Rhinolophus ferrumequinum: one gene and its partners. The protein of the gene in region 1 purifies or fractionates together with the protein of each later gene. This does not show direct contact. Links are inferred from orthologs where the notes say so. Each region holds a gene or a part of one and is shown in the gene's direction. Other genes may lie near its edges. The genes, in order: G3BP1, MKI67, ATXN2L and PABPC4.

Region 1 (7,138 bases):
CTGGCTCAAGTTCACGTCCCTGTTAGCAATTGGCAGTTGCATGTGACTCCTTCCAGATATAATCTGTGCAAGTACACCAAAACCATATAGGAATGTATATAGATAGCTATAGCAACACAATATATCTTTATAGAAATAATCACCCATGGCGTCCCTCCTCCCTTTTTAACTGTTTCCATTATTCTGCACTTTGCTTTCTTTATATATTGGTACCTCTTGGAGATCACTCTATAACCATACACATAGATCAGCCTCATTTTCTCTGACAGTCCACTGTATTGTTTTTAACCAGTCCCATATAGTTTGACAGCTGGGTTATTTCCTGTCTCTTTCTACTACAAGCCGTACTGCAATGAATATTATTGTACTAGGTCTTTGTCACAGGTGGGAGTTTAACAGGTCAAGATACGCATACATACAGGCACAGGTTTTTAATCACCCTTCATGAGTGATTAGCTATGTGTGGGAAACACTGATCCAGATGCTATCCTTAGGATCATTCCTTACCAAACATTTCTACCACCCTTCCATTGCCCCCCACCAAACTGTATTTCTGGAGTCTTACCCAGGTTTCTTCCCACCCTGATTCTCAGAGCTTTGGGGAGAATTGGCAGAAAGAGAGGGTGAAGTAGTGTACTGAAGGGGTTCGCACATTTTGCTTGGCAGTGGAGAGAAAGACCAGTAGGAGGCTGGGACTCTCCCTTAGATGCTAAGATAACTAGACCCGGCTTTCTCAGCCCCTGCCCTATTGACTTTTTAGCCAGATAATCCTTTGTCATGGGGAGGGGGGATCTCAGCTGCATCCCTGGCCAGTGTCCACTAGATGCTAGCAGCCCCTCTTACCCACTTGTGACAAGGCCACATATATGTCTCTTGGGGGCAAAATCTCCCTTGAGAAAGCAAGTGCTCCAGACAATTCACTGGTGGTAAATTACTCACTGAACATTTACTAAATATCCAGCGTCTGGGTCCTGAGGGTTTATGATCTGAGTGGGTAAACGACCACAGGAAGATGCCAACTTCTCTGTCCTGTGGAGACAGCAACAGCCACCTGAAGGATCTTGTTCACATTCTCCCTCTGGTAATTCATTCCTCTTTCCTTCCCTCCTTTCTTTCTACCTCCCATTACCCGGCGAACACAGTCTCGTTGTAAAACTTTCAAATAATACATTATTCTCATTGCTCCCAACCTAGGGGATTCCCTAGGAGGAATGACTATTGTTTTAAATTTAAAACCCTTCCTCTGCACTTAGATACCTATTTTAACATGCAGAAATCAGTTTTGTTTTTTTGGTTTCGTTTTTACTAATATGAATGGGAATTCACTGTATGTTTTGTTGAACTTGATTTTTTGTCAATTAACAATCCAGTTAACAATCTGTATAGTTTGTACCTCATTCTTTTTTCAACTGCTGCATAGTGTTCTGTATTACGTGCATATCACCAGTTAATCAGTTTGCAAATTGATGAGCAATTAACGTTTTCAGTATTTAAATATTCTAACAAAGCTGACAGTACTGTAATGAACGCCCTGGTACATGCCTCTTTGTAAAAAAAATGTGGCTATCAACCAAGAAATAGGACATACATAATTTTAATAGACTGCCAAATAGCCTTACAAAAAGCTGTAATCACTTACAATTTCCTCCAAATGTAATTAAGAATAGCTTTGACCCCTCCCCCACCGCAGGCCACCTGGGTTAAATTACTAATCTGTGAATTTAAAGTTTCTCCAATCTGCTCTGATTAGCGTTTCAATTTGGAGAGTCATCTTGTAAAATGCAAATTTCTTAGTCCATCTTTAAGAGACCTTTCAGGAGCTTTTTTCCACTGCTCTGAGAATAAAGTTCAAGTTCCTTAGCATGGCTAACACGATCCTTAAGTTTCCTTCCTTCAGAAAACCTTTTGCAGCTTCCTGGTCTGGACTGAGTTCTCTCCGGTGTGTTCAGTCCCACACACCTGTTCCCCGGTTTTGGGAGCTACCGGCCCAGCGCAGCGCCCGGTCTGTTGAATGGGTGACAGCGAGCAGGGACAGCGTCTTGCTCACCCCTGATCGCAGCCCTTGGATCTCAATAAATGCTGAAAGAGCGCGGCCGCTGCGGGAGTGGGGTCCGGGGAGGACGGGCGGGTAGAGGGACGCTTTCCCCGCGTTTCCGGGGCCAACGAGGAGAATAGGGATGAGCCCAGATGCCACCAGGCGGCTGCCCACACCCCTTCTTTCCCTACAAAGACGCTCCACGTGCTTCATTTCCAAATTTCTCAGCAAAACTTAACGGGAACCCCTCCCGCAGGGTCACATTCCTAGAATAAGAACTGACCGAGGCGTGTCTATGTATTTCCATATAAAATGCTCATGGTGACCAACAGAGGGCCCAAGAAAACACTGAGTGAGACGTGGACAGGACCAGGCTGGAGCGTCACTCAGCCCCCGAACTGTTTCGGGAAATCTTCAGGGTGTCCCTATAGGAGTTTGACAAGTTACCTTTTAAAGATGGGAACAACTTCAAGAAATAAGCCTCCACGCCCACAGCGATTAGAAAACTGAATGACAATGGTGGTGACGCACAGGATGTTGCATCGAGGCCCAAACTGATAGGACAACTTACAAACTACTGTCCCTCGGCAAAAACTAAAAGGGAAAACCTCAGTGAACATCCACCAGCCAACCTTCCGGTCGACCTGCAGCAGCAGCATTTGCCCAGAACCGCAGGGCAGAAATTTGTGTTCTCCAACTCAACAGTTTCACGTGCTACTTTTTACAAGATCTTAGGAACACAACAGGAGTTACTTTCTCCTTTGGCTTTCCCTTAACAGTTGCCCAACGATAGTGCTGACTAACGGTGAGAGCCAGCAAATGCCCTTAAGCATGGAAATAAAGTTAGCAGAAACAAACAAACAACGGGAAACTTTACCACTTGGTTTCCCTCGTATCAAACTGTGCAGAAAAGGCGGGACAGAGGCCTCAGCGGCCGAACCCAACCAGCGAGGGAACGCCAAGAGGAGAGCGGGGACCAGGAGAGCCTCAGACCCGCACCAGAGGGCACCGCGGCCCTGGGGCTCCGTCTCCTTGGTGCAGTCCAACCCTCGCGTCAATCAGCTCCTTCTCGCGTTGCGATTGGTCGGGGGCCTCCTTGGCCTCCCTGGCGCCCACCTCCTAGCTGCTTGGGGTTTACTTCCCCAAAGTACACGGGCCCCACCTTGTGGAGCAACCGCTCCTGCATTGGAAAACGGATCTCCGCCCAGGGGAAGACGTTTAAACGAATAGGAGCGGCCCCATGCATTTATTGGCTACTCTGGGTATCAGTTAAAGAACTTCCCACCCCCTTTTCCACTGTACCTTGAAGTAATTGGTCTCTCTCTGTGCCAATCTGTTACTAGGGAAACGAGATCCTCATAGTCTCATAGGCATGAGTCAAAGCCAATCAAGAGCCACGCCTTCATCCTGAGTCAGTGCCCAATTGCTGCTCGAGGAGCCCAGAGGACGCAGTCGGGATTGGTCATCAGCCTGCCCGACCTGGCCGCAACAAGTTAGGCTGAATGGCATATATATAGACCGGCGACGGAGCACGCGTGTGTGCGGACGCAGTTGCGTGAGGGGCTTTTGCCTTGTGTCGTTCTGTGGAGCAAAGCTTGTTCCTCCCCGGCTCAGCCGCGCAGGTACGCCGGGGTGTGGGCGGGGCGGGGCGGCCCTGGGTCGAGGACGAGCTGGGGCTGTTGTGAGAGGGAGAGGTCCGAGCGGCGCTCGCGCGAGGCGCGCCCTCGCCCTCCCCCCCCAACGGACGCAGGCGGCCGCACGGGCGCGCGGAGGCTCTCCGCCCCCCGGCGGGCGCGCGTGGCCGTGTCCGCCGCGTGCGCGTGCCGCGCCCAACGGCCACGTGGGGCGAGAGCGAGCTGCGGCCGCCGCCCCGGGCCCCAGGGCGATCTCGGGGGCCTGGGGCCCCGCGCGGCCGGTTGGCCAGCCTTTCCCGCTCGCTCCCCCACCCACGGGCCAGTTGAGTTTTTCCTCCCCGGCGTGGAGCTTTAGCTTGACCCGGACGAAAGAAGGTTTTTATGGGGGGGGGAGGGGGCCACACGAAAGTGCGATAAGAATTTTCGACCGGGGAAGTAGAAGTGTGGTTCCAGGGTTTTGCAGGCAGTGAAAGGGGGTGCAGCGAGTGCATGGGTAATGAATGATGATAATAACTCACATTTTTCGAAGCCCTTATTGTGTGCCAGGCATTGTGCTGGGCAACTTGTGTGCCTCTCATTTACTCCCACGACGACCCTGCAAGGTAGGTTCCCTCAGTTTACAGCGGACTCAGAGGCCCAGAGGTGGAGTGACATGGTCACAGGCAGACGGACGGTAAGGGGCAGGTATTTGTTTTAACCCAGGCCACCTGACTCCTAGTCCCCGAGCCTATTTTAGTCTTTGTTCCAGCGCCCTGTGCGGCCCTAGGGCACTTTGGCCCCCAGAGTACTCGTCCCAGGGGACAACATCAGCCTCTAAAGGCCAACTGCTGCGAAGACTGCAGTGGCATTTGTACTTGAGCCAGTTCATGGGCTTCCAGGGAGACGAGTTGGACGTGCGATTAAGACAAAGGAAAAGAAATGGTTTGGGCTTCCTTTGTACGTGTCTTCGCGTAGCTAGCTGACGGATGTGCTGCCCTAGAAGCTTCTGGATAAAGGACAGAATAAAAGGAATAAGTGCCAGTGAACACGGGCAGTGTTCCTCGTCCGATGTGCGACTCACAGCACGCTGATGGGAAATTCCCACCAGCAGGAAGTTAGGCGCTGCTGGTACTAGACCTTGAATCAGTTGTCTTCGTTTTTCCATCGGAGCCGACTTTTGAGAAAGCCCTTGGAGAACCTAGTTTAACTTCCTTGTTTTGTAGTTGAAGAAAATGAGGTTTCAGAGCAATGCGTTTCAGATCTCAGCAGCGTGTGTAGGTTAATGTTTGAAATTGGAATGGAAAGGCTAGTGCTCAGTTACAGTATAGAGCGGAGCTTATGGGAGGTGAATTACAGGTGGGTGATGGAGATGTGTTGGGAATCTTACCTTTCTGGCAGTGGGGTTGGTCTGTGGATGAATGCCTGTCTACGTTCAGTTCATTTATCTAGCATTTATTTACTCCTAGGCTCCTGTGTATGAGTGTATGGAAACGTGGAAGACACCTCCAAAGACTTGGGTTTATCTTTTTCTAGTAGAGTTACGTTTTAGATTTTTAAAAGCCAGTATACTCTTTGGCTTAATGAAAGAACAAAAAATGTTGCCGTGTTGCAGGCCCAGGTCATTACTTGACGTGACACATGTCTCTACTTGAGATAAAACTACAATGAAAGTTTTGGGACAAACTCTTCTGAATTAATTTTGATTGGAATGGCTTTCCACCTTTTAAAAAAAGGCATCTGTTTTGTTTGTACAAACGCTTTTTCGGATAGCTCTTGATTTACAGTCAGAGAACACAAAATTTAAAAACTGAGGAACCTTAATATGTGTTTCCATTTACTTAATAGTTTCCATGTTTAACAGAAAGTAACAAGAAAGGATTGAAATATTGTATAGACAAGTTCTTTACCTATAATAGGTGACAATGCTGTAAGAATATAACATTGTTTCACTTGAACTTGCCTTCCTGTAGCAATTTCAGTTACCTGCACTTAGACACCCCTTATCTATCGAATTAGAATTTTTAGTTATCAAATGTGAAAACATAATGATTACATTGAAACTCTTAACTTTGAGTCCAGCTAATTTTATTACTGCTTGAGGTAAAATGTATCACTGAAATTATCTTGTGCATTAATTGTGGGAAATTTTTATTTTGCCTTTCAAATGTTTCTTAAAAAAACCCAAAAACCCAAAAACTGTTCTTGGCCTCAAGCAAATACATGGTTATCAATTGAACAGGAATATGAAAACTGGTAGTTCACAAATTGGTAGCCCAGCTGATCTCTTCTTGTGCTTTCATTTATTAAGAACAAATGAATTGAAGCAAATTGTGATAATAAAAGACTTGGGTGCCTCCCTGCTCCCCAGCCAAGTTAGAGGTTACTTTTGTTGTTAAATCCTTTCAATCTAAGCTTTTGTACCTCTTCCAACTGGTAGAAAAGTAGGCAGTTCTTTGTTCTTTATTTAACTCACATTCACTTTGCTGTTCTCAGCTGACAGTCTGCTAGGGAACATCAGGAGATTGGTAATGTTTGTTGGTGACCTACTTTGCAGCAGTTTTTTGTAATTTACATTTTTTTTTTACTTGTTTTAGGGCTTTGCATAGAAAGTAAAAGGCAGAGATTAGTTTTAAATTATTATAGGTTTGTGAATTTTATGTGGTTCTTAGGAGGATGGATGGGGCAATGTTTAATTAAATGATGAAATTTAATACAAAGCCAGAATTTGTGATCTAAACCAGTTTTTAATTTTTTTTTGCCAGTTTAATAAAATTACCCATGTGATCTTCAACATTTTGCAGTTAGACTGGTTTTTAAAAAATAACATTTCAGAATGTAAATATGCATTGTATATTCATTTAATTGAACATAATGCTTTGGACAAAACTTGTTGACTTTACTGAGGGAGATAATTGTCAAAGTAGGTAGGTTAAAAAAACTGCTTTTTTTCCCACCCTCTGGCTAGTCAGTTGTTAACATCTAGTGGCAAAACCTTTAGTGCAAAGCAACACTGTCCTTCCAGCCATGGAGTTAAATTTAGATTCAGCAACTGTAATCTCACTTGTGGTTGCTGTTCACACTGTAACAGTTAACTAGATTTATGGTTTTACATCTCAATCAGCTTTCTGTTTACTCAAAAAAATTTTTTATTTTTAAGTACTCTTGGACACCCTGCCTCACCTTGGTTGGGAAAGCTAAATTGGAAGCCAGGTGAGAGATGGTGAAGAATGGGCTTTATAAAGTAGAAAGTAGATAATAAATATCTCTCATAGGCTGTGGCCTTAGTAAATAAGGTCTTTAGGTGACTACATGGGATGGATTTCCTCTTCTGTCCACGGCCCACGCGTCATATTTTATAATATTGCTTAGGTGTTAGCTTGTGTGCTATATTTCAGGTATTTAGTAAAAAGTAAATGTTAGAGATGGTTCAGAGGAAGAAAACTGGCTTTCTGGTTGGGACACACTTCTGTTTTGTAGGGATATTAATGTC
Region 2 (7,411 bases), on another chromosome or scaffold:
ACAAAAACACAATTATGTTTGTTGTACGTCTTCAGGTGACTCTTGTTCCTACATTTGTATATTTCCCAAATATTCTATGATGAAAATAATACAGCGTGAGCTTCTTAAACTAAAAACGAATTTTTCAAAATTTCATTCATGGTTTTTGATGCCATGTTTAGTTCCGACTTCTTTTCTTCAGGCTAAATCGGGTCGTGGGCACTGCAGGGTTGATGTAGAAAGCCCCTTGGCCGGAGCCCGTCTTCACTGGTCAGGGTATGTCCGGGCCGGTTCCGAAACTCCCGGGGTGGTTCCTCTGGTCTGCAAAGCTGAGCTTCTCTCCGCCCTCAGGTGAAGAGTTCCGGGTGAGAAGGGGCTGAGGCTAGAAGGGGCTGAGCACTTGCAGGAGGGAGGAGCTCAGGTGGCCGGAGAGCCAGGAGCGGACTGAGCGGTCAAGAAGGCCACATAGGGCCTCAGAGCTCCTGGCAGAGTTGGGTTGTCCTCTGAAAGTAATCGGCAGCCTCTGAAGGGTATATTGTAAGGGAGGAAGTCACGTGATCCGGAGTGAATTTGCGGCGGCTCACTCTGTCTGTGGTGATTGCCCTACAGAGGCTCCTGAGGTGGCGTCCCTGAGCTCAGCAGAGTTGCGTCACATCCTCCTCAGAGTGGGGACTTAGGGAATAGGGAAGGGCTGATAGAATTTGAAGCAGGGGAATAAGCGCATCCCAAGTGTCCTTGGGAGAAGCTGCCTTTGATACAGGCCCCTCCCCGACAGGCCAGGCAGAAAGGCCAAGGAAACCAAGTGGGGACAGAGGCTGGGAAGCCAGGGAGGGGCAACCCTACCGACCCCTGTTCACCCCACCTGTGCAATGCTGGCAATAGGGAATGGTCGGAGGAGACGGCGTCCAGTGCGGGGGAGGGCTGAGTGATCTGGGAGAAAGACCGCTGGCACCCAGCTCAACGGAGACCAGGAGCGGAGGCAGGTCCCACCCGGGCTTGGGCCCCAGGAAGCAAGTCCACGTCTGGGCTGGTGGTGACTCTGGATCGGGGTAATCGCCTGGCAGGGGGCCTGGTAGCTGTCAGCCACGGGATGTGTACGTAGGGGTCCCGGGTTCTCAGCGACATGGCTGTCTTCCGGGAGGAAAGAGCTCACCAGATCCATTTCGGAAGGACCCCAACCCCACCCCTGGGCCACTTTTCCCGTCCCCTGAGCCCCGCTTTAAGGCTCTTGTCTCCCCTGATGGGAAGACTGGCGGGCGGAGGGGGGTTATTAAGAGACAAGAGAGGGGAAGTGTAGTTGGGAGTCTGGGGGCTCCGCTGGTTGGCGCCGCTACCCCTACCTGCAGCCGCCCGAGGGTCCCAGGTCCGGGGCGCCCGGCTGGAACTGAGCCGTCGGGTGGATCGGGAGCACCTGCCCCCTCGCCCGTGAGGCCCTTCCCAGATTATTGACCGCACTTGTGGAGGGGCGCGACCCTCCCCGCCCTGCGCCGCCCTCCGCGGCCCCTCTCTCCACCACCCGCTGACCAGGTGGCAGAGGTGACAGTATAAGATTTACTGGGACACAGATGACCGAACAACATTCCAATGTGATACTGATTACACATACACTCAATTTATTGGAAATACACCGTCTCGTCCGGTGGATGGATGGGCCCGGAGTTTACCGGAATTGTTGAACGGTGCCTCATCGGTTGCCTGGGGCAATTTCCATCCTAAGTGTCAGGAGGCGAGAGGCAAGGAGCAGGGGGAAGGCGCGGGAAGGGGCAGGGGAAGCGGACTGCCCTGGCACACTTTCTCTGGCTGATTGACTGCAGGCGTGAGTGAGCGTGGGCTGTGAGGATCTGGACATTGATTCCTGGAAAACTCCCCGGGTCGGCGGACACCATCACCCCCGCACGCCGCGGAAAGCCGTTTCCCGTCCTCCGGATCAGCGGTACTCTAAGTGCAAGGTCCCTGTCCGTCGCCGTATTCAAGACTCCCACAGTGCTGGAGAGGAGCTTGGGGTCCAATGCCACCCCCGCATGTGGTACGTGGGATTCTCCTCACCGGAACGAGATCTGTGCTTTAAGGAAGTCTTGGGCTGTGGGCCATGCTTCTAACCCAACAGAAACACCCCTGCTAAAGTGTGTCATCAAACAGTTTAAAGAGGGCTGTGCCGCAGACCTAACCCCGTCACTCAAACAACCCCTCTAATTTCCTGCCCTCTCTAGAGAGCTGAACGTGTGTGTGGCACAGTGTTTGTGAGATTATCTGACAGGAAGCCTGGCACCTCCTACTTTTAATTAGGCTGCTGGAGGGTGGGTCACAGAACCGTCTCTGATAACAAGCGGTAATTAGAGTGACAAAAGTAGCGTTTTATGGGGTTGTTCAGAGATGAGCTTTCTTTGATGGAGTGAAGGGGGAGGACACGGAAACTAATCCCCTGAGAAGGTGCCGTGCAGGGTGTCATGCGGGGTCTCAGCTCCCACTCCCCACACAAGAACACAGGATATGGTGAGGCCAAAAGGAACACCCACGGAGCCATGGGTAGGGAGTCACACCACAATAGTCTCACTGGAGGCTGGATTCACAGGGCGTGCGACCTGCTGCTATCCGCTTTTCTGCCAACCCACCGACTCTCTGACTTCCCTCAACTCTCCTGACGCCCCAACCAGCACAGCCGCGGCAGCTGTGTCAGGGGCCAATTGTCTAACTGGCTACAGCTGAAGGCCAACTAGCCACAACCGATGGCCATCTACTACCCGAGTCAGCACCCCCCCACGTGAGGCCGAGAGCCTGGAGACTGCGCTCTGGGGCTCTGTCCCCACAGAAGGTTAATGGGAGCCAGGCACTTAAATTACCCACACCTGCCTTGTCACAGAGAGAGTTGGAGGTGTACATTCACGTCGTGTTCCCAGCTGTTCCGTATTCCCGGAGGCAGTCCCTAAGTTGTCGCTCACGAGCAGAAAGGCTCAAACTTTTTGGTCCCAGGGTCCCTTTATGCTCTTCAAAATTACTGAAGACCACTAAGAGATTTTTGTAGGTTATTAACTGAGTAATTTTAAAAACTTCATCTGTCAATTTATTTTACAATGAACTCATTTCATGTTAACATAAAAAAACATGTTTTAATGAAATATACCTACGTTATCTGAAAACAAAAATTACTGGAAAGAGCAGCATTAGTTTATATTTTTGCAGTTCTCTGTAATACCAGATTCAGTAGAAGACAGCTGGAGTCTCCCTTCTGCGTCTGCCTTTGGGAAACGCCGCCTTCCACTCAGGAGGAAATGAGCACAGGGGCGAAGAAGAACGTCTGGCGTTACCACACACAGGGTTTTCACCTCAGGGACCCCCTACAATGATCTCAGACACTTTCAGGTGTCCCCAGACCATCGGGTGCGAATCCTAATCCAGGGGAGCCACGCTGCAAGGGGTGCGGGTGGAGCGGGAGGCGGGCGATGACTGGCAGACAGGGCACGTTTGGGACCCATTCAGTCACACCACGTTGAAACGCTGACACACAGAAGCCTCCCCGCCCCCACCAGGCAAGTGGCTCCAGGGAAAATCCTGTGGTTATTTCAGAATGCGTCCGTTCTGTCGTGCGCAAGGTTTTTAAATTGGAGATTTTTTTTTCCTAATAGGAAAACTCTGTAAACCTAAACGAATAGCGATAGGAGTGGTTAGGTCAAATATAGCTGCTAAAGCGGGATGCTCGGCAGCCTCAGAAAGAAAGTAAACGGGGAAGATGTGTGCCTCCAGGTCACACATCTAAGAGCCTCCAGGTCTGGGAGGCAGAGAACACAAATGTAAAACAGTGTGTCTATTATGGTCTTTTCAGTGTGTTTTGAAAGAAAATAATACATGTACAACTGGGAAAAGACACGGAAATCGCTTATAATTACGGGTTATCTTTGGGGAGATACAGAAACTAAAAAATTTTAACCCTTCCAGCAATGAGTAACCTGTTGTGTACAATTGTTAATTGTACAATTGCATTTGGTCCTTAAAAAAGAGGAGGCTAGAGAGGTTTGGCGGCGGCGGGGCCACGTTCCGTTTCCGCCTGTTTGGTGCAGTCCCTGCTGAGAACCCGGGGAAGGCGTCTTCCGCGGGCGCCCCGCCAGCCGGCGGCCGCTGCCCCTCCCGGCGGAGCCCGCCACTCCCCTCTAGCCCCGCCCCGGCCCCGGCCTTGCCCCTCCCCATTGGTCTGCCCCCGCGCCGCCGCGTCCAATCGCAGTGCTTTGCGCCAAATTTGAATCGCTGTTTTCATTTGAATCGGGCGAACAGCAGCGGGCGGCTTTCCGCGCCCGCGCCGCCAACGCCGGGCACCTCGGGGACGTAGCTGGCAGGGACACCCGGTCGCCGGCGAGGGTGACGGCGGGGGGAGCGGGGACTGCGGCCGCGGCAGAGGTGGGCACGGGCCCGCGGGCTGAGTCCCGGACCCGGCAGCGCGGGGCGGGAGGTGGATTTCAAGTGAACACTTTGAGGGCTACTCACCGTGTGGACTTGGTTGCGCCTGGACGAGCGGTGGACCCACTGGTGGCAGTGAGGGCGAGTCGTCCTGGGTGAGTCGTGGCACCACGGGGGAGCGGACAGGAGCCGCGGAGAGCTCTCCAGGCTGTGCGGGAACCCGCGCCGGGAGCGCGTCCTGGACCCGGCTCGTTCTGGGCTCGGGCTCGTGGTCTCGGTGGGAACTCCCAGGAGACAAGACCCTGGTGGGCGGCGTCCTGATCGCGGGTCTTTCGGGGTGCTGGGTGCTGGAGGGCGTCCTGGGGGACAGCCCAGGGCCCGGCTGGGGCTCCTACAGTTGTCAGATAAGGTGTGGGCCGGGGTGGCAGGGCTTGGGGGAATTGTACAAGCAATCCCAGTTGGTCACTTACAAGTGACTTCTTACTTAGCTCCGTTTTCAGAGTAACACCCTCCTCCCCCGTGTTCTATTTTTGTTGTTTTATTCAGTGACCTATTCCTGCAGTGGAAGAGTTGCTTGTAAGTTTGCTTCAGCAAACCTTTTGATGCCTGACTTTCCTATACGGATTGCACTCAAATTCTTGGTTAGAAAATGGGTCCTACCGGACACCTTGTTACCATCAAAAGGAGCGGGGTCGACGGCCCCCACTTTCCTCTGAGTCTCAGCACCTGCTTGTTTGGAAGGTGAGCCCTGCGCCCTGCGTGTACCATTTAGCTTGAAAGACCTGAATTTCCTGATCACAGATTAACAGACTGGAAACAGGGCTCTGGGAGTAGTTCCTGCCCTCACATTTGCTATGGATTTTCCTATGTGTTGTCAACTTGAAGTGATGGCTTATTACGAAAAGAATTTTGAAAACAATGTTCATATATTAACTGGTTTCTAATCAAATGTTAAAATTGATTTGATAAACATCTATGAATGGAGAAAAACAGAGATGATTCTCAAGTCCTGATTCACTTCCGGCAGTCTTTAGAAAACAACTGTGTTTATCTGAAATCCCTCCGAATGTGGCATTCATTGGTTACTGGGGGACACTTGAGCAAATGGAGGAAGGAGGCTCCTACATGGCTTGCTGGTGTTTGGGGAAAAATGAACATGGAAGGGAAAGTCCTCCTAGTGTTTTGAGAACTTCTCTCCTGTCTTCATAAGTGTGGTTCCCCTGGAACAGGCCACGTTACTAATTGCACCCCTTCTCATTTTCTAACACTGTCCTTAAACAGACACTGATAGATAGGTCACCTTCCCTGTGGAGACCTGTGGTGCCACCCCGACCCTGTGCTGCTATGTTCCACCCCAGCTCAGACATTCCACACTCTTGCTCACTTTGGTGCTTTTAGCCAGTTTGAGCTTTAGGACTGGAATGTTCTCTATCCTCCTATGTGAGTGATTCCTTTCCAGCTTTTAGATGTCAGTTTCAACGTGACCTGAAAAGGAGCCTTGAATGGACATCGTCATTGTCTTTCCTAACGCCACACATGGTGATGAGTCTGGTTTGTCTTCCCACTATTAAGCCCCAACGACAGGACTGTGTGGTTAATGATTATGTCCCCCGTGGCTGGTGTGGGGTGCGGCATGTAAGAGGTGATCAGTGCTCAGCACCCCCGTAAGTGTCCAGGGGAACTGTGGCCGGAGAATGGACAGACTGGCAGTGTATGTCAAGTGAGGGCCAACTTGCCCCCCAGGAGACATTTTTCCATGTCTCCATGTGGGAGGCTTATGCCGCTGGCATCAGCGAGCCAAGGTCAGGGATGCTGCTACATGTCCTACAATGGACAGGGCAACCCCCACTGTAAAGAATTATCTGACCTGAACTATCAACAGCACCACGGTCAGGAACCGCCGTACACACATCTGTAGTGATCCCAGTGGGCAGTCTCCTGCCCAATACGTTCTCAGTTCTCAGGAGATAATCTCTCTCTTTCACTTGGTGGAATATTCTGATACCTAAAAACCAAATTCTCTTCTTTGATTTAAAGTAGCTGTTCCCTTACCGGTAGCTTCTTTCTAAAGAAATATACAGAAGGTGCCAAAAACATGTATATACATTTTAAGAGATGTTATCTATGTAGCAGTAGTTCGCCGCAATCACAAGTGTCTGGACGCTGATGGTAACCACTTTGAGCACCTCTTGTAATTGCAGAAATCAAACGTTACTATATATTGTTACAATTTTGAACACTCTGAAATGTGGATACATTTTTTTGTTGCGGTGTGTGTGTGTGTAACATTTTGGTATCAAATGGCTGTAATTCTGACTATTATACAACAGTGATTGATTAACTATATTTTTGTGCGAGATTTTGTAATTCATGTTTGGTCATTGGACATGGGAAGGAAGACATCATAGACTCTAGAGGTTCATACTGACAAGAGAGAAGAGTATATACTTGTTTAAACTTATAAAAGCACCTGGTGGTAATGGGAATACCGGAGCTGCACTAAGGACCTCTGGCGAGTTTCTGTGGGTTTGGGAAGTCTCCCTCCCAGTGCTTCCTGCTGAGGTTAGCTTTTTGTGAAAAGACAAGTTGAATCTAGAGAATGTTTTATTGTTGCTTGCAGATTAGTATTTTTAGTGATAAGAAACTGGGGAATCTGTCAGTTAATAGAGTGTAGTTTTAAAAGCCACAATAAACAGCTCACAAGTAATGACATTTTACTGTGGGCCAGGCAAATGACAGACGTGCACAAGTCATTTAGTCATTTGAAGAATACCATGATATAGGTGCCAATGTAATTCTCTTTGTATATGAAGAAACTGAGGCACAGAGCAGTTCTGGCATAAAGTACAGCACTTTTGGTGATGAGTAAACCTTCAAATATGCATTTGTGTACATTACAAATGAATGTACACAAACCTTTTTATAGAAGAAAAAGCATGAGTATTAAAAGTAGTTCTCATTCTCCAAACTGACGTAAAACACTCTTACATTGGGGGTGCCAAAAAACACGTATACACATAACTTGTATTTATCTTTTGTTATT
Region 3 (7,128 bases), on another chromosome or scaffold:
AAAGACAGGAATCTGGCCTATGCAGACATCAGATGGCTGTTGGACTGTGGACAGTTGTAAACTTAATCAGTTGGCCACTCCAATGGTAGCTGCTGTCTCAGAAGCAGTATCCTTACTGGAACAAATCAGGATGGCCCCTGGTATGACGGAAAGGCTTATTAAAGACTCAATTATGGTATCCCTTGGGAGACCACACCCTGAAAGGATGGAGTTCTGTTTTATAGGATGCGGTATATACTTTAGTCAGAGACCAGTATTGTATGGTGCCGTCTCCCCTACACATGGGTCTGAGAATCAAGGGGTGAAATGGACCTTGTTCTTCTCACGATTATTCTTAATAACCCATTTGTAGAATTTTTGCTTCTCATCTTGGCAACTTTGAGCTCTGCTGAGTATATATTTGGACTATTTAATAGTAGGTTGCATATATCATGTTCCTTTGAACATAAATATATATTATATATATTCAGTAAGAATATACTCTTACATATTTACGGAGTTATCACACTCAGGAAATTTATCGAGGATGTAATACTTTATAGTCTGTATTCCAAATTCATCCATTTTCCCCATAATGTCTTTTATAGAAATTTTTTTTCTGGATCTAGGCCAGGATCAAATATTTCATTTAGTTGTTAGTCACTTTAGCCTCCTTTTTAATATGGAACAGTTCCCCAACCTTTCTTTGGCTGTGATGCCAGGGACATTTTTGAGGAATATAGTCATTATTTCTCCTGTATGTTTCTTCTTTTAATGTGTATATGCATATACATTTGTGGCTATTACCGGTATGGGCGCATGGGTTCTTCTGTTATTTAATGAGTTATAACCTGTTACTTGTGCCAGATTTGGCCTCTTCAAGCTGGCTTCTGTCTCTTTGATACGCTTGTAATTTTTTTTAGTACTTACGTCGTATTTTCTGGCTTGACAAAATGTTCCAAGCTCATCTGGTGCCTTCCTTGCTCCTGCCCAGGCTGGAGTCAGCCATTTCTTCAAGGAGCCCTGGGTCCTTTCTATGGAATGGTATTTAGAAAGCAAGATCTGGGCATTAGATGTGTGTAAATCAATCTATCTTGTCTATGCCTCTTGTTTTTTCTATAAATTCTATACTGATACTTCCCATTGCAAGCCTTACAAAGTTTTTGTTCCCTTCTCTCATTCCATATATGCTTCTCCCTACTTCCCTAGTGAGAATCCTGGCTCCCAACATCTACATATTTTGTCATGTGCTCAATCCACAATACACTCAATAGCTTCAGAATGTTCATGGTCTTGCCCTACGGCAAAATTACTAAGAAGAATTCAAGAGTTATATGCTGTGTTTTTTCTTTAGACAGAGGGTGCTTGAAAGTTACTTGAATGAGCCCTATTTTTTTCCTTTTTAGTGTTATTTTTATTCATTGAAAATAGAGTTGGGCTCATTTATTTATATCTATACTCAGACTTTAGATTCCGTCCATCTCTCTTGATTAAATTTCTTGAATACGTTGACCATTAACACGCTTTGAAAAGTCAAAACTGTATTGGAAGGTATACGTAAGGAAGCTGTATTCCTTCAAGAACATAACCCAGCAACCAAAGGTCCCTCATCTTTCCTACCCCTCATAGGTAACCGATTTTATTAGTTTTTGGTTTATCCCTCTTGAGTTTTTCTTTGCAAAAATGTGTAGATACATTTGTTTTATTTCCCCTTCTTCCTTGCACAAAATGTAGCATAGTTTATATTCTTTTGAACTTGGCTTTCTTCACCTAACAAGATAGCCTGGAAATCACTCCATCTTAAATCAGTGATATAATTTCTAAATTGCATATAAGACATGGTTTTCATTTACCAACTGAGTGACTGTGTGTCCAGCCATGGAGCTAGATATGGATAGAGAAATGACTAAAATACAGTCCCTTCATGACCTTAGACTCCCGTGGAAAGGAGAGCCACATAAACAAAACCATCACAGTGCTCTGAGGAGGGAGTCGGTAACAGGATGTTCGACTGCCAGCTGAGTTGAAGAATGAGAAAGTAGGTGAAGAAACAGCACGTGTACAGGCAGAGTTGGGTACGGGTCAGACAAGTTGTGGAAATGGAAGTTTAGCGGGGCTAAACCGAATTCCAGTGTGGGAAGCAGGATGTGGATGGGGGATACCTGAGTGCCCGTAACGAGGGTGGAGAGGTGGCATGGCACCAGCTGGTGCAGGGCATGACAGGAAAAAGCTGGATTGTGTTATTGAGCCATCCAGGAGACATGGTCCTTAAAAAATCACTCGGAGCCATTCTGTTCACAAGGCCTTAATTTACTGCCTGCTTTGTGCTACCGTAGGTCCTGCAGGAACAGTGAGTAGGAGTAAGATCCCGACCCTTCGGGTGCTGACACTAGTAGGAAGACAGAATTCAAGGAGCTCTTGGATAAAGGGGGGGAAATTCTTGGACAAGCACACAGGAAGGGAGGGAACCTCACACACTTGAAGCTAGGAGTGAGGCAGGGGTGAAGGAATACTTCCCAAAGAGTAAGGCAGACTTTCACCTACGGGCTTGCAGGTGAGGGCTCAGGAAGTTTCCACGCTAACGCCTGGAGCGAAGTGAGACCGATATTGCAAGTTTCGCTGGGATTAAGACCACAGACCCATCACTGCTTCACTCCATTCTCCCGGTAGCACAGTAGTCCTTTAAAAATACAAGTCTGATCTCTTCATCTTCTGTTAAAAGGCTCCCCACTGCTTTGAGGATAAGGTTCCTCTCCTAAAAATCTGATCCCAGGTTACTTACCTCTCCGGTTTCATTTTTTAAAACCTCCCTCTTTAATTTTATTCTCCAGCCATGCTCAAGTTTTCTTGTCACATCCCATTCCCCCTTGCCTAGAAATCCATCACCCAATCCGGGGTCACTCCTATCTGCTTTCTTAGTGCCCTGTGCTTCACCTAATACCGGGTTTCCCCAAAAATAAGACCTACCGGGACAGTCAGCTCTAATGCGTCTTTTGGAGCAAAAGTTAATAAAATACCGGATCTTATATGTTTTGCTCCAAAAGACGCATTGAGCAGAGTGTCTGGCTAGGTCTTATTTTCGGGGGAACACGGTATTATAGATCTCACCTAATTGTCTGAATCTACCACCAGCTTGAACTCCCTGAGGGCGGCAAAGGGTTTAATTACAGTTGTATCAAGAGCATCTAGCCATTTTAAATGAATGAAGGCTGCCTTCACTGCAGTTGGGTGGAGCATTTTGTACTTTGGCCTTCCTTTCATTACTCCGGTTTAAGGGTTCATTCTAGGGCATGGAGAAACCATGTAGGTTTGAAAACCACTGAAGTTTAAAATACACCGCCGGGCTCAACCTGGCAACTGTAATGCCCGCCAGTCTTTTCTTTAAAGCAGATAAGGTCGGGAGTAGCTCCTCCTGAAACCTGCCAGCAGCCTGTCTAGTCCCGGGATTTTTTTTTTTTGCACTTTGACTCCGCCCAAGGGCCCCCAAGTGGCGGAAGAACTGCACGTTACGTCGTGCGCATCTCCCACGGCTGCGGAGGCATCCCAGCGCTGCGCCGGCGGAGGGGGCGGGGCGGCCGGCTCTTCCTCGGCTGCCTCGGCTCCTCCCCTAGCGTTTCACACGCTCATTGTGAAGCGACAGCGGCTGGCAGCGTTGGGGGCTGTTAGACACCCAGAGACCTTAAATTCTCGGCGCGCGTGGGCGCCGCGCTGCTCCTTCCCCATTCCAAAGGCTAGGGGCGCGAGGTTCACTTTCTTTCTTCTCTCCTTCCCCGCCGGCGCTAACCGCCCCGGTGCGCGCGGACCCCGCGCCGCCGCTCCCTCCCCGCCCCTCCCCCTTCGGGAGCTCCCGCCCGCGCGCTCCTCCCTCTCCCCCCCTTCCCCCGGCGACGCGCACGCGCGCCAGGCCGGCTCGCGCCCTCTCGCTTTCCTCTGGCCCGCGAGACCCCCTCCCCTTCCGCCTCGCGGCGCTTTCTCGCGCCACGGTCTTCTCTATCCAACCCCGACCCCGCGGGGCTCCCCGCCCGCCCGCCCGCCAACGGCGGGTCCCTTGCTTCCCAATTCCCCTCGCTTCCTGCGCTCTCCGGTGGGGGCCTAGCCCCGGCCTCTCTCCCTTCCTTCCCCCTAATTCCCCTTCCGGACGCTGCCATCATGTTGAAGCCTCAGCCGCCACAACAGACCTCCCAGCCCCAGCAGCCGCCCCCCACGCAACAGGCCGTGGCCCGCCGGCCTCCTGGGGGCACCAGCCCTCCCAACGGCGGCCTCCCGGCGCCCCTGGCCTCCACCTCGGCTCCCCCAGGGCCTCCCGCGGCCACTTCCCCCTGCCTGGGGCCTGCAGCCGCTGCCGGGAGCGGGCTCCGCCGGGGACCCGAGGGCATCTTGGCGCCCCAGCCGCCGCCACCGCAGCAGCAACATCAGGAGAGGCCAGGGGCAGCGGCCATCGGCAGCGCCAGGTGAGAAGGGGTGGCGCGGGGTGGTTTTCCGGGCGCTGGAGCCCAGGCTACAGGCAGCGGCGGCTCGGTTCCGGCCCGGCGGCCTCCTAGCCTGGCCACCTTTGAGGGGCGCCAGGGGGCGTGGGCCACCCCCCCTGAGCTGGGAATGGGCCCCCGCAGGTCCTAACAGGTCGGAGGAAAAGGGTCCCCCGGCAGCTGCCGGGACACTCGGGGGCCATGCTCAGCTCTCAGAGCCTGGTCGGGTCTCGCGGCCCGGGCTTTAGGGGAAGGCAGGGCGCCTCCCGGCAGCGCCGTCGGAGCCCGGAGTTGGGGGGTGAAGAGGTGATCTGGGGTCCCCGGCTCCATTACCAAGGAGGGTCTCGCGGTCCCCGGCTTCAGCCAATGGGGAGTCAGCTGCGGGAAGGGGTCCCCGGCCGTAGCCAATGGAGGGGGGCGCGCGGCCCACAGTTTGGCCAATGGGGAGGGAGGGACTTGGGAGCGTGTGGCCGCCTCCTCCTCCCCGGTCTGGCCAGTAGGAGGGGAGCGGGGTGGGCGGGGGGACGGAAGGAGAGACCACTGGGAGGTCTGCGGGCCGGGAGCCTCCGGCGCGCGCGCGCGCTCTTTACGTACGTGCGCGTGGATGCTCTGTCTTATGACCCAGGCATTCGGGAGTCCAGGGTAACATGCAGGGCAGTGGCCGGGAGGGTGCGCGAAGGGGCTTCGGGATGGAGGGGTGGACACGCCACTCGGTTTCTTCGGAGTATGGGTTAATGGAATGGAGCGTGGCGGAACACGCAGGCGCAGTGGGTTCGGATCGCGGGAGGGGGTTTTGAAGAGGCCCGTGGGCTTTAGTGCGCAGGCGCAGACCGGGCGAGGCCTCCGGTGGATGGCTCTTGCGGCTGCGCTGTCCCCCAGCCCCGCCAACGGCCCCCTCATCACCCTCCTCCGCCGCCGGTTACATCAGCCAGCGAGGAGCGGGCTTAGCAGGCGATCGAGGACCCCTCCCACAGTGGGTACCGCGCCGAAGGAGGCCGGAGGTCGAGAGGGTGGGCTGTGGAGGGAGTCCCCTCCTCCCAGGATCGGAGCGTCAGGCTGCTGACAATGATTGTCTTTTCGGTTTGGGAGGTAACGTGCCTGAGCCAGGGACTTCCGCGTCTGCACTCCCTGAGCTTCCATTTTTATGTCGGAGGTGGGTTTTTGGTTGTCGAATGCTGGAGCGTTGGTGTGTTGGAAGCGTGCAGCCCAGGCCCCTTGGAGAAAGCGAGGCAGTGGTGTAGGATGTACTGTTAAAAGCAATTGACAACAGGGGTCGATTGCGATGTGTTTTCCCGGCGTTTGGAGGCAATGTGTTTACTGGCTATACTGCCCAGGCCTTTCTTCCTCTATAAGGTGAGAGTTTGAAAGTTACGTTGACTCACTGTAGCCTAGATCCGCATCTTCACGTGGTCTGTGGTTCTGGGATACCAAGTCCTTTGAAATCAGTCGTGTCAGGCATTGAACAGATTTAAATTAGTTTCTTGTTTCCTTCTCTCACAGGGGACAAAGCACAGGAAAGGGACCCCCACAGTCACCGGTGAGTGCCTCTGCCCACCCCAAGACTTAAAAGACACCTAGGTGGGAATATAGGACCGATTAGTTGTAGATATGGTCAGGTGGGCTCAGAAGAGCAGGGGTCTCAGCACATAGTACTTCGGTGGGGGGGTGGAGTGTGGATATTTAGAAGGAAGGTGAGGTGTTGTCTGGCTCTTTATTTGTTCCTCCTGTGTTACTGACAGGTGTTTGAGGGTGTCTACAACAATTCCAGAATGCTGCACTTCCTTACAGCTGTGGTGGTAAGTGGGAGCCTAACCCCTGGGTGGTTGGAGGAGAGTGATTCCTCTGTTTGCTGGAGACGTTTTTATTTTTCCCACTGTCCCAGGGCTCCACCTGTGATGTAAAGGTGAAGAATGGCACCACCTATGAAGGTATTTTCAAGACTCTGAGCTCAAAGGTCAGTGTACTCAAATTAGCTTAGTTTTCGAGTGCGTGCAAGGAGGAGGAGAATGAAAAAAGTTCATTGAAGGTGTGCATTGAGTGGTGGTGGACCGCAGTGTGGCTGTCACTCATTTCTGTAGACCTGTGTGCTAGAGTCGTGCTGCGAGCAGTGAAAGACGTGCGTCTGAAATTTGAGGGTTGGATGCTTTCATGTTAAAACGCTTAAATCTTAAAACGTAAGTTTCTAAGTTTGGGGCTTTTGCGACGTCTTATGGCTGATGTTGAGAAGACATCACACATGAGAGTGTGATGCTGGGAAAAGTTTAGAAAGGGTAGGAGAAAAATAGTCATGTGTGTTGCCTTCGTGTTTCGTGATACTGACCCTTGGGTGTTGGAAAATGGGACATTTTTAGTTTGAACTAGCCGTGGATGCTGTGCACCGGAAAGCGTCTGAGCCAGCAGGTGGCCCTCGTCGCGAAGACATTGTGGACACCATGGTCTTTAAGCCGAGTGACGTCATGCTCGTCCACTTCCGAAATGTGGACTTCAATTACGCCACGAAAGGTATTGTGCCAGGCTGGTAGGTCCCGAGTGGGGCTGCAGAGGGCAGTTCCATCACCCTCAGCACCACCCGCTTTACCACCTTTTTTCCTGAGGAAGATGGGTGGATTTTTCTTCTTTAGAGTGTCTTGAGGTCTAAGATCAAGTGGAATGAATTTGGTCTATGTTGTGGTTCTTCGTATTT
Region 4 (7,285 bases), on another chromosome or scaffold:
TTGGTCTATTGACCTATTCCTGATAAGATACTGGGAAAAGTTTTCTGCCAAGAAAGCAAAGTTTTTGTGTTTTATCAAAATAACTTGCTGTAACTAAAATTGAACACGGCACCTTGAGCTGAGCTGCCACTGAGATCCCGGATGGCTCAGGTGGTTGGAGCGTGTCCTCTCAACCACAAGGTTGCCGGTTCGACTCCCACAAGGGATGGTGGGCTGTGCCCCCTGCAACTAGCAACGGCAACTGGACCTGGAGCTGAGCTGCGCCCTCCACAACTAAGACCGTAAGGACAACAACTTGAAGCTGAACGGCACCCTCCACAACTAAGATTGAAAGGACAACAACTTGACTTGGAAGAAAGTCCTGGAAGTACACACTGTTCCCCAATAAAGTCCTGTTCCCCTTTCCCAATAAAATAATAATAAAAAAATAATTTGCTGTATTTCATGTTGTCTTAATCTGATCTTCGACTACTTAAGAAAACCAAATCTTCTCAATAGTAAGAGCTAACCTTCTGTATTTAAAATTCCCTAGCTGACCTTCATGAAAAGGGGCAATAAAATCTATATAGATTGTGGCACATGTGGATGAAGTCTATTCTACTTCTGCAAAAATGACCCCTCAGTGACAGACTTTTGCCATCTCGATGCCCATGTACTTTGACAACAGTCTGCTCCTGAATCAGAGAAACTAAGATGGGCACACAATGGCTGTAAGTTAAATGAATAGTCAGGGCAGTGGGAGACCCAGAACGGCTGCTTGGTTCTTCCAGGCTCCCTGGCAAACCCCTTTTTTGTTTTTTTCCATCCATCGTAGTGCATTTAAACTGGACTTCACTCAACTGCCATTTAAGTTTGGGTTATCAATACGTTATTCTTGTTGTGTATATGTTTTCCAGATGCACTAAAGGTTTCCCCTGCCACACGGCTGGAGTTCTCACAGTGGCAAAGAAACTGTTAGAAAAGGTGTTTCCCTCTCAGGGTATAGCTTCCACAGTCTCTAGGGATCAAGGCACCCACTTCACTGAGCAAATCATACAAGCCTTGACAGAAAGCCTTGCAAACTTCTTGGAATTATCACTGACCCTATCACCCTCAATCATCAGGCAAGGTCCAGAAAACTAATGGACCAATTGGATTCAAGCAGGACAGGTCTTAATTACATGGAATTGAATGAACTGATGAGGATGATTACAATTTTTATGACTTTTTGTTTGAAACATTGCTGGCATTTAAAATTTTTTTGTTCTTTCAGATATAAGGAAACCTTTCCTCTTAAACTATTACTTACAGTAATTTGGTGAGTTATACCTTGGTAAGCAGAATTGAAACATTTACTTTTTTCTCCCTGCTTGATCCCTCCAGAATTCAGAAAGCTTCAGTGAGTATTCTTATTTTCATGGCAGTATTATTTGTATAAATTCAATACAAATTTGTTCTCCTTGTAACAAGACACAATCGGAAACCGGATAGATTACCAAAGCTTTGGCAGAAATGTTGTATTTGGGAGTGACATGCATAGATTCAGATATTACCAAACAGCTTGAAGGATTGAAGATTCACTTATGGAAGCCAATAAAACCCTCAGAAATACCAGCTGGCCTGGTATCTTGCTTATAGGGTTCCCAGTACCTTACTGGAAGATGTAGGAACCTCAAGATATTTTGAGAACCTTGAGAAGAGAGGAATTAACCCAAATCTAAAAGTATTGCTGGTGAAGACTAATGACAAGTCCTTGGCTTGGCTTTTCTGGCCTTGAGAATATTTTTAAAGTTCAAGCTGTAGAATCTTTATGAAAAATTCTAGCAAAGCAGGTTTAAAAGCCTTTACGATCAACTGCTATTCTTGTATTTATACAAATAACAGGCCAAGTTTATTGAAACTAGACTTATTTTGCAAACAAATTAGTCTTAATTTGAATATCTTTGATCAAAATAGGGGTGATTTTAGAGAGAAAAGTTATGTTTCAGTAATACATCTTTGTGAATATTAGATACTAGTGCTGTTTGTTGTCTTCTGAGGTTTTTGTTTTTCTACCTGCACTGGATGCTGAATTCTTCTAGTTTCCTCAAATATCTGGCTATGACTCTGCAAACTAATGTTTCCGATTTTTCTGCCACCCTTCTAACTTGAAATCATTGGGAACTAAAACTGCCGTTTTCCCAAAGCCATGTAAGCTAAAGTTGGACAACTTGATATAAAATTCAGAAAAATCACCACAATAGCTCATATATGGACAATCTTCATGCCTGTTACAGAAAGATCACCCTAGACATTCAAATTGTAGATCAGGAAAATCTATCAGATTATCACTGCTTGCCCTCACTCCATCTGAAGATGCTTTGAGCCAGACATCTAGAAATCTTGACTGGCTGCCTGGAGCACTCAGGAACCGGGATTATAGTCTGTTCCAAGCATTAACCATTGTTTTTCTTTTGTTTACATAGAGATGCCTCTTATTAAATACTTGATTGCTATTGCCATAGGCCTAGTTTTGGCAGCACACCTGCATCACTGCCTCCGGAAATGAGACACAACTGTTTAACTGAACTAACCTATTCTCAAGACTGAGACTGGTTTAGTGAGACATGGAACAATCTATCAAACCCAATTTCTGGAATGTGAAACTTATCAGGAAATTTCAAAGGCAGGACTAAAGTTGTTCAGAATAGGCTTCTCTAAGATATGCCACCGTGACATGTGAACTATTTTGAACTGAAGGCAATTGAGAACCTGCGGGTTCATGAGAAACTTTTACCCCCTTTCCTTAAAGAATTTAAATTGGGGGTCTTGCCCATAATAAGAGTTATTACCAGAAATAACTTTTTACGACCTATCTATAGGGTAGGCAAACATCTAATTACTGCACATCTGTTCTTTTTATTGTCCTGCGAATGACCCTCTTCCCCTCTGAAGCCCCAAGGCACTTTACCTCATCCTTAGCTCAGAATGTCATGTATACCTCATTTTAACTTTGTCTCTGAACCTCTCATGTATGTTGGGGGGGGGGTGTCTGATTCTCCATGTATGTGAGGTTTCTATACATACAGATATAATTAAGTATATTTATTTCCTTTTGTAAATCTGTCTCATGTCAATTTAATTATTAGACTAGCTGAAATAAAGTTTCTTTCTCCCCCGCAGAGCCTAGACACTAACTCCCTTTTACAAAGAAATAGAAAGTATTTTTGCACCCTTAAATGTCAACTAAATTTCCAGAAACACCACTGCCATCTAAATAGAGGGATGATTGTATTTTGTTTTATGAAGCTTTACCAAACTTTGTTCATCTTTCCAGAAAATCCCATCAGCCATGGATACTATTGCATTTGTAGTTGTCTTACCTCTTGGTTCCAGTACCCTGAAAACTTCAGAATGTCTTCTCCTTTTTTGGGGCCCAAACATTTACATATTGGAACATCTATTACTGTGTTTCCCCGAAAATAAGACCAGGTCTTATGTTAATTTTTGCTCCAAAAGACGCATTAGGGCTTATGTTCAGGGAATGTCATCCTGAAAAATCATGCTAGGGCTGATTTTCCGGTTAGGTCTTATTTTCGGGGAAACACGGTATATAATTATAATTTATTTTGTCATCTTTATTTTACAATTAAGGAACACATTGTTTATGAACATTATGCGTGCTGGTGGGTTAAACTGTCTACAGGTTCTATTCCCAGAGGGGCGGGAGGTTTACAACCTAGTGTGGCCAGCTGCCCTTGGGTCTGGCACAGGCCCCGAGCGGTCCTCCGCGCACCAGGGGTCGCTGTAGCGCAGCGTGGCCACACCGGGTCTCTCTCATGTGGCCGCCCCGCCTCGGGCCTCCGGGCCGAGTGGGCGGGCACATCTGCGCCCAGGTCGCCAGGCGCCCTTCGACCAGCAGCGCCCGGGGCGGGCGGGTATAAATGGAGCGGTGGCTCCCCCAGCCGCCTCTCTCCGCCCCGGGTCGCCGCAGCTTCGGCCGCTTTCGGGCTCAGCAGCCTGAAGAAAAAAAGAGAAAAAGATTAAAAAAAAACCCGAAAACGCTTTAAAATCTGAAAAAAAAAGAGAAAGCGAATCCTTCTCGGAGAACCCGCGGGGAAGTCACTTTTGCACGCTTCCGGCCTACCCGCGTCCGCCGCCCCCACCGCCACACCTGGCTGTCCGTCCGTCCGGTGGTGAGCCGCCCGCGTCCACGCGCCTCTGCTCCAGCCGCCGGTCCGCGCCGCGTGGCAGCCCCGCGCCCCCGCCCCCAGCGCGCCGGCCTCCCCGTGCACCACGTGTCCGCGCTGCCCTTCGCGGCCCGGCGTGGAGGCGGCTGCGCGCTCAGCCCCCGGGGCTCGCCGAGTCGGCACCGACAAATATTTTGTTTCCCTCGTCCCTTGGCTGCTGTAATCTTAAACCGCCAGGAGCCCGAGGCCTATATTTATAGAGAAACGCGTGTCCCGGAGGCCGCGTGGGCACCGTTTGGTTGCCTCTTGAAGAATTTTTATAATTTGGAGGGGAGTCCCCATTTAAAAAATTTTTTTTTTTTTTGTGGAAATTTGGAGCCTCAGACCAGGACAGCTGAAAATCACAAACTCCCCGGGAGGGCCATATTGTTTTTGAGAACCTTTTGTCTGCGGTCTTGCAGTCTCGAACGAGCCGCCCCTGAACTCCTCGGCCCGCTCCTCTGTCTCTGAGCCTCCTCCAGCTTCTCTCAGCTTCACTCTGCCACCTGTGAGCCGCGGCGCGGGCCCCGGCTCCAAGAAGAGCCCCTTTTGTCCTGTGTGGTCCTTATAAGAAGTCCTCCTGGCGGGGCTCGGGGTGGTGGGGGCTGGGGAAATGAACGCTGCAGCCAGCAGCTACCCCATGGCCTCCCTGTACGTGGGTGACCTGCACTCGGACGTCACCGAGGCCATGCTGTATGAAAAGTTCAGTCCTGCGGGGCCTGTGCTGTCCATCCGGGTCTGCCGCGATATGATCACCCGCCGCTCCCTGGGTTATGCCTACGTCAACTTCCAGCAGCCAGCTGACGGTGAGTAGAAGCCTTGTCTGCAGATTCACAGGATCCCACGGGGCCTCAGGAGTCATCCTCTAGGCAGGTCCCTACCCTCGTGGAAGGGGCAGCACGACAGCACGTTGCCACAGAAGCCGTAGTGGGGAATAGGATGCAGGAGTGGAGAACACGGGATCCTGGCATCAGATGACCAGTTTCAGCCTTCTACCACTTGCTAACTGGGTGACCTTGGGCTAATCAGTGGTGGCAGTGGGGTTGGAATCCAAGGAGACTGGAAAAACGGCTTCAGAGGGAAGTCACTGTCGTTCCATGGTGTGTGTGACCCTGCTTCAGTGGAGCTGGGCTGTTGGAGACCCTCGGCTGGTCAGTGGGCATGGACTCATGTCCCACACAGGCCTGCCAGAAAGGCAGGGCGGTGGAAACAATAACTGCAAAGATTTTAGGTTGCAGAACTGCTGCCCCCTCCCCTGCCTTTACCCTGGACTAAGAGTCCGTTTGATTTTGTGCTGATAAGGTATCTTTCAGTGAGGTAGGAAGCAGGGGAGCAATTCTATGCATTAAACTTCAGCAGGCATTTGTGTTAGCACAAGAGGAGCATGTGCCAGAGCAGCTCCCAGGTCTGGGTGTTTGCCACTTGGGTAGGAGTTCTTCACTCTGGACGAAGCCTTCAGCTGTGGAGAATGGTCTCTGGGTAGCCTGGGGAACCGAGGCTTGGAAATCCACTGGGCTGGTAGGGATTATTGCCTCACCTGTGAACAGTGCTTTCTACTAGTCAGAACACTTTTACGTCATCCCATCTGAAGAGGATAGGACTCTTAAGAAGGAAAAGGAACTGCAGCAGGTTGGAGGCTAAGCTGGGACTGCCTGTGCAGTGCTCCAGGAGCCCAGATTAGGCCTTCGCTTGGCGTGGCGAGGTATGCCGCAGGCATGGCAGGGGTGAGGCCAGAGGAAACCTAATCGGGCTGCACGTGACTCCAGATTAAAAAGGAACAACTGTAGAGATCACTACGAGAAACAAGCCATTCTGTGGCAAAGGATCTCCAGGTCCCTATTTTTGTCCCTACTTTGTTCACCACGAAGCACAGAATGTCACTTGCCCAGGATGCAGCTGAGACCAGAGGATTGGACTTGTTGAGAGACATGAGGTACTGCTCCCATTTAGTGTGCTCTGAGCTGACTTGTATCTGGCCACAGGGTACGAAGAAGGTAGCTGAGTGTAGCCTTTTTCAGGGGGAGTAGCCTGCCTTGACTCTTCTGAACAAAAGTCTTGTCACTTAGCAATAATAGCAGGAGCCATTGGTCAGTGTGTCTGCCAACACATACCTCTGCAGGACCTCTCCCTGCTATAAATAAGTGCCGCCGGATTTGTCAGACTAAGCCGACTTGCCTTCTGCAGCACTGTCTGGAAATAGAAGAGGAGATGTGTTGGAAAGGGTTCCTTTGCTACTAATTAATGAAACACTGTTTGGGGTCCAAGGCTTTCGATCTCAACTGGCCATTACAAGCAAACTCTTCTGTGCCTGGACTTTTCCTGACTTCCTCCCCTCCCACACTGAGGAACCCACCTGAGGAAGGTGGGAAAGGTGGTTGGAACCGAGTGAAGAGGGGATACTCCCTTGGCTGACTGGGCAGCTAAGCTTGTGGAGGGGCAGTTTTGTCCCTAAGTGGGGTGGTGCCTTGAAGCAGGGACCCCCCCCCCCATCATCCCTTCGTTGAGGACATTCTGGGAGATACATTGCATAAGTCAGGGAAAGTGAACACCAGCTCCGGGTCCTTGTTACTACCAGTGAAGAGAAGTATTCCTGCCGGCAGGTGATGATATATTTTATTTTATTTTTTTCCTTTTTTAATATTTTTTGACAGGGGAGGGATATTGGGGAACAGTGCACTTCTCCAGGGCGCAGCTCAGTTCCAAGTCCATTTGCCGTTCTCAATCTTAGTTGCAGGGGGCGCAGCCCACCATCCTATGCGGGAAGTGAACCAGCAACCTTGTTAAGAGCTTGCACGCGCTCTAACCAGCTGAGCCATCCGGTCGGTGATGATATATTTTAGCTTCTCGTCCTTTAAATGGTCTCTATGGTGCACACATGGATTTGGTTGGGGAGCTAAGGAACCAAGGCCCTGGATGGAGAACTTGGTTGGGCACCACAGTATTTGAAGTCCTGGAATTCTATAGAACTCAGATTAAGGGTTCAGAAGGCCTGGAAACCACCAGGTTCAGGGCCTACCTGCACTACTTAGGCAGAAGGCTGTTGCAGTTTTTTCCTTGTCTGTTAATTCAAAGAACATTTCCATGTGTGACCATTAGTA

The links.
Region 2: the proteins of G3BP1 (region 1) and MKI67 purify together in Homo sapiens (affinity purification with mass spectrometry; 3 studies listed by BioGRID and IntAct, with this or other methods). This does not show direct contact. The link is inferred for Rhinolophus ferrumequinum from reciprocal best matches to the Homo sapiens genes G3BP1 and MKI67.
Region 3: the proteins of G3BP1 (region 1) and ATXN2L purify together in Homo sapiens (affinity purification with mass spectrometry; 4 studies listed by BioGRID and IntAct, with this or other methods). This does not show direct contact. The link is inferred for Rhinolophus ferrumequinum from reciprocal best matches to the Homo sapiens genes G3BP1 and ATXN2L.
Region 4: the proteins of G3BP1 (region 1) and PABPC4 purify together in Homo sapiens (affinity purification with mass spectrometry; 4 studies listed by BioGRID and IntAct, with this or other methods). This does not show direct contact. The link is inferred for Rhinolophus ferrumequinum from reciprocal best matches to the Homo sapiens genes G3BP1 and PABPC4.

What each region holds. Positions count from the first base shown.
Region 1 is NC_046307.1:23,502,126-23,509,263, forward strand, and holds the start of G3BP1 (ras GTPase-activating protein-binding protein 1), read left to right. Parts: upstream 1-4,127; 5' UTR 4,128-4,169; coding exon 4,170-4,271; intron 4,272-7,138. UniProt on the Homo sapiens protein: Protein involved in various processes, such as stress granule formation and innate immunity. Plays an essential role in stress granule formation.
Region 2 is NC_046299.1:3,639,240-3,646,650, forward strand, and holds the start of MKI67 (proliferation marker protein Ki-67), read left to right. Parts: upstream 1-4,404; 5' UTR 4,405-4,523; intron 4,524-4,914; 5' UTR 4,915-5,017; coding exon 5,018-5,109; intron 5,110-7,411. UniProt on the Homo sapiens protein: Protein that associates with the surface of mitotic chromosomes and acts both as a chromosome repellent during early mitosis and chromosome attractant during late mitosis.
Region 3 is NW_022680357.1:1,217,381-1,224,508, forward strand, and holds the start of ATXN2L (ataxin-2-like protein), read left to right. Parts: upstream 1-4,128; coding exon 4,129-4,430; intron 4,431-4,778; exon of another isoform or gene 4,779-4,934; intron 4,935-5,034; exon of another isoform or gene 5,035-5,174; intron 5,175-5,288; exon of another isoform or gene 5,289-5,418; intron 5,419-5,437; exon of another isoform or gene 5,438-5,534; intron 5,535-5,631; exon of another isoform or gene 5,632-5,798; intron 5,799-5,945; coding exon 5,946-5,982; intron 5,983-6,184; coding exon 6,185-6,241; intron 6,242-6,327; coding exon 6,328-6,399; intron 6,400-6,796; coding exon 6,797-6,947; intron 6,948-7,128. UniProt on the Homo sapiens protein: Involved in the regulation of stress granule and P-body formation.
Region 4 is NC_046292.1:27,731,779-27,739,063, reverse strand, and holds the start of PABPC4 (polyadenylate-binding protein 4), read left to right. Parts: upstream 1-4,283; 5' UTR 4,284-4,800; coding exon 4,801-4,993; intron 4,994-7,285.